2 linked regions of the Oryctolagus cuniculus genome follow. The protein of the gene in region 2 interacts with the protein of the main gene of each other region in a pairwise test. Links are inferred from orthologs where the notes say so. Each region holds a gene or a part of one and is shown on either strand. Other genes may lie near its edges.

The links.
Region 1: the proteins of LHX4 (region 2) and CHCHD2 interact in binary tests that used the Homo sapiens proteins (3 or more experiments, as listed by UniProt). The two-hybrid records come from large-scale screens. The link is inferred for Oryctolagus cuniculus from reciprocal best matches to the Homo sapiens genes LHX4 and CHCHD2.

Annotation. Positions count from the first base shown.
Region 1 is NC_091450.1:65,935,720-65,940,072, reverse strand, and holds the start of CHCHD2 (coiled-coil-helix-coiled-coil-helix domain-containing protein 2), read left to right. Parts: upstream 1-1,544; 5' UTR 1,545-1,763; coding exon 1,764-1,813; intron 1,814-3,661; coding exon 3,662-3,911; intron 3,912-4,353. UniProt on the Homo sapiens protein: Transcription factor. Binds to the oxygen responsive element of COX4I2 and activates its transcription under hypoxia conditions (4% oxygen), as well as normoxia conditions (20% oxygen).
Region 2 is NC_091438.1:8,382,607-8,386,409, forward strand, and holds part of LHX4 (LIM/homeobox protein Lhx4), read left to right. Parts: intron 1-1,690; coding exon 1,691-1,845; intron 1,846-1,950; coding exon 1,951-2,122; intron 2,123-3,667; coding exon 3,668-3,803. UniProt on the Homo sapiens protein: May play a critical role in the development of respiratory control mechanisms and in the normal growth and maturation of the lung. Binds preferentially to methylated DNA.

The sequences.
Region 1 (4,353 bases), on a different chromosome or scaffold from region 2:
AGCAATAAAAAGGTTTAGAACCTGGTAGCATTCCAGACAGAAGACAGTTCTGAATGCCCCGCCCTAACATGTATGTTATATTTATAGCCCAGAAAAGGATATGACATACAGAAACAACCTGATGGAAGCCAACAGCATTTGCCTTGTTTGGACATGGTCTGATCAACTGGCTGTGTGATTGCCTGAAATTTGACTGCTATAATTGTGTGAGAATCAGTTTCTTGATTACATAAGTTATAATCAGCTTATGTTACTGGAAACAATTGCTCAGAGGTTCATGTCTTCACGCAAGAATTTCAGATGTGAGACAGAGAGTAGTAGTAAGTGAGGTAGCAAAGTTTAATGAAGAGAACACACGTGACAGACCAGGGCAGCATACCAGCAAAGGACTCAGAGCCCAGACGATATTCAGGTTGTAGTTTTTATGTATAAGGACATGGGTCCTCACCACCACTCCACTTCTCCTTTCCTTCCTCTTCTGAGAAATCGCTGGGTGGAGGGCTATGTGGGTGTGGAATTCCCAAAAATTGCTCCAAGGACCTTAACAGCAGTGTTATCAGACCTAATAGCCCCATTTCCTTTGGCCCCTCTTATATATACATAGGCTAATGTCCACCTAGCTACCTCACACACATCAATTCAGAGTACAAGCTATTTTAGGCCAATCAGTTATGTACAGAGGCTAATCTAGGCCAAATTTAATTCAGTGTAACATTAGAATCTTGTTTTACTTGGTGCTATTTCTGAAACATCCAGTGTACTGTAACAGACCTCCAGAGGCAAAAGTTGCCATAGGACCAACAAAACAGCACAAATCTAAGATTGCAAAGAATGTAATTTATTGGGGGATTTATGGACAGAAGGTGGTCTTGGGCAGCTGAGACAGTGGATCCCTATGCCATGAGTCAGGAAAAGAGGAGTTTTACAGAGAAAGGTGGTTCACAGCCAATTGGAATGCACGTTACACTTTTTCAAGAAACATTAACATTCATAAGAAGGTATCCCAGACATTAGATAAGAGGGACTCTAGGAAACAATAGCAAGTGAGGGCCACAGTTTAATCATGTGACTTTGTGTACCTATCACAGGGCTTGGGGTGACCTCTAAGGTTATTACCTACTGGTCAAGATACACGGTGATTAGACCCAAGATGGCTGAAGCACATCGGGCTGAATGCCTACACTAGCCATTCAGTAAAATCTTGTCAAATCACAGTGTAGGATGCTATCTCAAAGCAACTCAACACTGTCAAGCCCTGCCTAAAACTTTCTTTCCTCCAGCCACATTGTGACTCAAAAAAATATTTGTCCAAATATGTAGCTTCCTCAAGGTCCCCCAGCAGTCAAGCCAGAAACGTGACTCGCACAGGTTGGGCTAAACTCACCATGTTAATACAAACGTCTGCAGGACGTAGCGACAGCCTTCGGCCGAGGAAGCAAACTGCTAACCCTTCTGACTCATGCTAAGGTCGGGGGACAGAGTTTGCAGGGCACCACAGGATCTTCCGGTTATATAAAGCGCCCGGGCGCGGAGCTCATTACGTCAATTACGCACGACGAGGCTCCGCCGTGAAGCCCTGCTCTTCCAATGACCTTCAGGGGCCGCCGAGGCGTCAGCAAACGAAAGGATCCTGCCCGAGCGCTGATTGGTGTAACCCTGGGGTAAGCCCCGCCTCTTACCTTCCGCTCTTCTTCTTCGCCGAAGTACTTGAACTCTTGCCAGAGTTTCGTCCTTGGAGACGCCGGGGTAGCTTGGCCGTGAAGATGCCGCGTGGAAGCCGCAGCCGTACCTCCCGCATGGCCCCTCCGGCCAGGTGAGGCTGTTTGGGGACCTGGGGGTGGCGGTCGAAGCACGGATCTCTGAATCCTGTCGGCCCCGGGGCGCCGAGGTGGGGGAAGGGGGGGCGCAGAGAGCCCGCCTCGGCCGGACCGAGGTGGATTGTGTTCACACTGTGTGCTGGGAGCGTGGGGGAAGGGACAGAGCTCATGCCAAGGCCGGGAGGCGCATTTCATAAAGCCGTGGCCAGCTGCCACTTGCTAGGAAGCCAGGTCACAGCCTCCGGACGTAGCCTCGATTCGGAGGAGGGCGCCCTAGGAATAGTCCACAGGCGGGCGCAGAAAGCGGGGTGCATTGGCAGTGTCCAAGCAGTGGGGGCGGGGTGGGGACGCCCGCTTCCGGTCTCCGGGGGACTCGGGCTCCTCACGCCCCCTGCCTGCTGACGCGGACGTGGTGGACCCGGGTGCTGCCACCCACGTGGAAGACCTGAATTGAATTCTTGGTTCCGGGCTTCGGTCTCGACCCAGCCCCGGGAGTCGCCGGCGTCGGAGAGTCCGCAAGAGGGATGGGAGCTGTCTTTGCCCTTCCAGCTGTTTTTTTGTTTTTGTTTTTGTTTTTCAAAAGCAGTGCTGGACATAACCAGTGGAAGTTCTAGACGTACTGCAGATGGGGAGTACGGTAGCTCCACACTTACCTCACTAGGCTCCGGTTTTGGGATCTCTGAAGTGAAAGACCTGAACTAGATTGTTTACCCAGGTGTCCATTGTTAGCTTTTTTTTTTTTTTTTTTTTTAAGATTTATTTATTGGAAAGTCAGAGTTACACCGAGAGAGAAGGAAAGGCGGGAAGGGGGGGTGTCTTCCATCCGCTGGCTCACTCCCCGATTGGCCACTACAGCCGGAGCTGCGCCCATCCGAAGCCAGGAGCTTCCTCTGGGAGCAGGGGCCCAAGGACTTGGGCCATCTTCTACTGCTTTTCCAGGCCAGAGAGCTGGATAGGAAGTGGAGCAGCCGGGACTTGAACCGGCGCCCATATAGGATGCCAGCACTGCAGGCGGTGGCTTTACCTACTTGCCATAGTGCCAGCCCCCCCGAGCTAGATTCTTTACCCAGGTGTCCATCGTTAGGTCTTAATTCAAATGTTACCAGCTTAGTGGGAGCTTCCTTGATTTTCCTAAAATTGCAATATCCCTCTTCATACTCCTGCTCTTGAAAGTTCTTTAACGTTTAATGTACGACATTTTTACTATTTGATCTCCGTGTATAAGGTCCGTAAAAGCGCAGATTTTCGTCTCTTGTTAAGTTCTGTTCTCGTCATGCATAGTAGTTGCCTGTGTGTGTGTGTGTGTGTTTTATTTATTTGAAAGGCAGTGCCTCCAGGTCACTCACTGGGTGTGAGGACCCAAGCACTTGGGCCATCTTCTGCTTTCCCAGGCTCATGAGCAGGGAGCTAGGTCCCAAGGGGAGCGGCCAGGTCTTGAACTGGAGCCCATGTGGGATGCAGGCCTCACTGTGGAGGCTTAACCTGCACAACACTGGCCCCTCTAACTCTTAATATTCTATGTTCTGTATTAATATTCTGTATTTCTTAATGAAGAATTGGAATAACTGTGTTCCTGAAAAAATACAATGGGTTATGTGAGCATATGGAAATTATTGCAAAACAGCAGGAAAAAAATACACTTGGTAATTACCACTGTAACAAAAAATTAGATGAAATTGTGTTTGTATATGTATATAGTAAGCATCTGGGATTAAGAATTTAAAATGAAAATCTTGAGATTTATTCTGATACAAAGGTGTGTGTTTTTTATCGTGTTGTTCTGGTTTTTGTAATTTCCAAAGCTCAGTAGAAACGGAAGCTTAATGTATTTATGTTCTTTCAAGCCGGGCTCCTCAGATGAGAGCCGCCCCGAGGCCAGCACCAGTAGCTCAGCCGCCAGCAGCAGCCCCACCATCTGCAGTGGGCTCGCCCGCCGCGGCACCCCGACAGCCAGGCCTGATGGCCCAGATGGCCACCACTGCAGCTGGCGTGGCCGTGGGCTCTGCTGTTGGGCACACGCTGGGCCACGCCATCACTGGGGGCTTCAGTGGAGGAAACAGTGCTGAGCCCTCGCGGCCCGACATCACTTACCAGGTAAGATTTGGGGCAGCATTTTCCTCCCGTGGGAATATCTGTGAGAAAATCTAGTTTTTATGTTCTTTGGGTGTAGAACTATCTTTAGTTTTAGAGTCTACAATGCTGTTAATAGAAAGTGGGTTCTCAAAAGCCACATCGGGCAGTTCAGTTAGTGCTTCAACAGCACCAACGAATCGTACTGTACAAATTGTGTTTCTTCCCAAGGAGTCGAATTGTGACAGTCCAGCCTGACTCACTGCAGAACAACCGTTTTTCCCTTTAATGTGATTTTATCTTGGCAGTGCTTACTGATCCAGTCTCAATCTTAGTTAAGACATCAAAAATCTCTTCAGTTGCTCTGTGTGGTCTCCTGTGATAGTTGCCATTTCCCCTCTTTCTGAGATGTGTAGCCTTTCTCTTCTAACGAGCACAAGTCTGTATTCTGTACTTGTGGTGTACA
Region 2 (3,803 bases):
GACCCTCCCTCATATGCATGGATTTCTTTTTTGCACCAGAATAAATTTATCTTAGAATTCCATTTTCCATGAGCTTTTGAAGTGCCCTCATACGATTTCATATTTGCATAATTCAAATTTGTGCCAAAAGCTGTCCTAATGTAAACTCTCTAAATACAGGAGAAGGGATTGATTTCCCCATAATAGAATTTAAAGCATAGCCTTCTGGAGGTGTCCCTCTCCCCTTTTTGGAACCGATCTCTAGGCAGTGAGCCTCTGCCTCTGGGAGACAGGGGTGGGCAGGGTCCTGGGATGACAGTGGCTGTGCCAGAGGAGGAAACAGCCCACAGAGAAGAGAGGACGTTGGGCCTCGAGCCCCCTCTGCGCGTGCACAACCACTTCGCTCCTGGAACACCCCACTGCCCGGAGGGTGCAGGACTGCCCAGGGTGGCACTGGAGACGTGTGTGTGTGTGTGTGTGTGTGTGCGCGCGGGCGGGACGGGGGGAGCAGATGGCGAGCCAGGGAGCAGAGAAGAGAGGCGGGGCCAAGTTCAGACTTTTATAACAGCCCTTCAGAGGGTATGCTGTTGGTGAGCATATCCACCTCTCCCGGTGTTTAACATTCTGCCTGAGTTTCCTGCCCAAATTATATTCAAACCAGGCCAGGCATACAGTAAGTGCTTAATAAATGCTGGCTACTCTTTGTTCCTAAGAGTGAGTCTTCTTGAATGTTGAAGAAGCAGAGGTTGAGGAGGAAGGCAGGAATGTAGCAAAGATATTTTATTTTTAAAAAGATTTATTTATTGGGAAAGAGGTACATAGAGGGAGAGACGGAAGTCTTCCATCCGCTGGTTCACTCCCCAGATGGCTGCAATGGCGAATTACCGGGCCAGGCTGAAGCCGGGAGCTTCTCCTGAGTCTCCCACGTGGGTGCAGGGGCCCAAGCACTTGGGCCATCTTGTACTGCTTTCCCAGGCCACAGCAGAGAGCTGGGTGGGACTGGAGCAGGTGCCTGTTTTACCCGCTGTGCCCCAAGCTGAGCGGGAGCTGAGGGACACAGCTGGCAGCTTGACCGGGTTGGCCCCCAGGGGCACTGCGCACGGAGGGGGCGGCCTCCGTGTGGGCAGAGGAGCAGCAGGCTGTGAGGTTGGTCTGTGCAGCTGCTCACTCCGTGCCCGCCCCCGAGCGGCACACACAGCGGAGCCCAAGGCTTGTCTGCTGCGAATCCAGGGAACACTTCGTGTGTCTCTTCTTGCTGGTGCCCTGAGGGCACCTAGACGCTGGTTTTCAGATTTTGACCGTGACCCAGAGGGAGAACCTCATTTCGCATTTCCGCAGTCCTACCCACGCCAGAGGCAGACGGGTGTCGTGGGGCAGTACCCGTCCCGTTCTGTTCCTCCTGCTTCCTCTCTGGTTTCCATCCACTCGGTTGACTTCAGAATTCGCCAGTAGGCTCTGGACCAGGGTTTGATCCGCAGTCTCTGCCTAAGGGGCCTGCTGAGCGTGCAGCTCACCCAGCTGTGCGCCCGGGACGGTGGGGCAGGGGCTCGGAGGGGGCGAGGCCTTGTGGGCAAGGGTGCTTGTCCAGACAGGGACGTGGGTCCTGCTGGGCGGGGGCGGCCGGAGGGGGCCTGCGGATGGCGACCTGCCCGCTGCCCCAGGGCCCAGGCAGGAGGGCGGGCGGCCCGGTGAGAGGTGCCTCTCCCCGCAGACGACTCGGAGGCCGGGGCCAAGCGGCCGCGCACCACCATCACGGCCAAGCAGCTGGAGACGCTGAAGAACGCCTACAAGAACTCCCCGAAGCCCGCGCGGCACGTGCGCGAGCAGCTCTCCTCGGAGACCGGCCTGGACATGCGGGTCGTGCAGGTGAGCGGCCCCGGGGACTTGGACGGGGGCGCGCGGGGCGGCCGTGGGCGCGCCGGGCGGGCACCCACCTGGCTGCTCTCGCTCGCGCGCACGCGCGCACCGCAGGTCTGGTTCCAGAACCGACGGGCCAAGGAGAAGCGGCTGAAGAAAGACGCGGGCCGGCACCGCTGGGGGCAGTTCTACAAGAGCGTCAAGAGGAGCCGGGCAGGCGGCAAGCAGGAGAAGGAGAGCTCTGCGGAGGACTGTGGGGTCAGTGACAGTGAGCTGAGCTTCCGAGGTGAGCAGGGCCGGAGGCTCCAGGCCGAGGCCCCCGGGGTGCGGCAACCCCCAGGTCCTGGCCGCGCCTGCCTGGGCACAGCCCTTGCCCCAGGACTGGCGGCCGAGGCCGGGGTGGGGGTGGTGGGCAGCCCCTAGGAAGAGCCCTGCCCCTGAGCTGTGAAAGTCGGGCTCCCTGCCCCCCCCCCTTTCCTGTCTACTGGGGCCCCCTCACCGGCCCACACGGCTGTAGACCAAGGGCTGCATCCCAGTCTCGGTCCCCAGCCTCGCCACAGGCCCCTTCCCCTGGGGAATCAGCAGTGCCGGTGCATGCCAGATGGGGGCACTGGCTTCACCTGGGACACCCCTTCCCGCCCCACTCGGTCCACGCAGCGCGCCGCACACCTGCTTTGCCGCATGCGCCACGTTCCGATCCGTGCATCCGCGAGATTGCAATGACTGCATGTAATTCCTGAGAATTCCCACTTGCTGGGCCCTCTACGGGGGTGGGGGTGGGGGACCGCCCTGGGGGTGGGGCGGTCAGAAACCTGCTTTCCAGGTGGCTCTGTCGGCTTGATTGGCTTCCCTCAAGCCTCAGCTGCCCTGTGTGTTGAGTGGGGAAGAGTAGCTCTCTGCCCATCTCCGGGTGCTGCGGGCCACCAGCGGGTGCAGCCGACTGTGGGTCCTATGGGCCTTCCCCTTTAGAGGGCGTGAGCCCCGCCCCCATCCAGCTTCAGGAGTGGAATCAGGGGTGGCCTCGGAAAGACCGGGGTGGGTGTTGGTTGAGGTTGAGGAGGTCTGACGTAGGGACCGACGCACAGGCCTGGGTGGAAGCGGGAGGGGCCGTCAGGACAGAGAGGAGGGGGCTGTCCTGGGGGTCAGCTTGCTCTCAGGACACAGGGCCCGCGGACCTGATGCCCTTGCTCCGAAAGCCCCTGGCCTCCTCCGGGCGCCTGCCTCCCCCGGGGGAACGGACGAGAACATTCAGCCGTGTCCAGTGATTCTGGGAGCCGGGCCATATAGAACCCCTTGTTTCCTGGACTCCACCTGCTCTCCTCTGGTGGGGAGAGGAGTTCCTCCAGGTGGCAGACATTCCATATTTGAGCCCCTTAATAGAGTCTTTAAGGAACGAGAAGCCGTGTTTGCTTGGAGGCACTCTTCCGGGTGGACCAGGACTCTGCACACACGGCTACGAGTGGGCTGCCCCGACCACAGCCACCTGCTGTGCCCCACCAAGGCAGACAAGTCCTTGTCTCAGCTGGGAAGTTTTCAGAGTAGCTCCTGGCCGCCCCTGGCTTCCACCTGTGGTGTGTGTCGCTCCTGAGAGTGCACACGTCACCCGGGCCCGGCGTGTCTCCAGCCTCCTGGGCCCCAGGATCTTAGTTCTTGCTGGGGTTCCTCCCGTGGGTCCCCTCGGCCTGGGTTGGTCTCCGGATGCCCGGCCCGCGTGCTGGTGTCTGACCTGCGCTTGGGCGTCTGTCCTGGGCCTGTGCGTTCCTAGGTCGTGAAGGGCAGGGACCGCCGAGTCCTGGCAGTTGACAATAAACCTGCGTTCTTTTGTCCACAGAGGATCAAATTCTCTCAGAACTTGGCCACACCAATAGGATTTATGGCAACGTGGGGGACGTTACAGGCGGACAGTTAATGAATGGGAGCTTCTCCATGGACGGGACCCGGCAGCCCTACCAGGACCTGGGAGATGG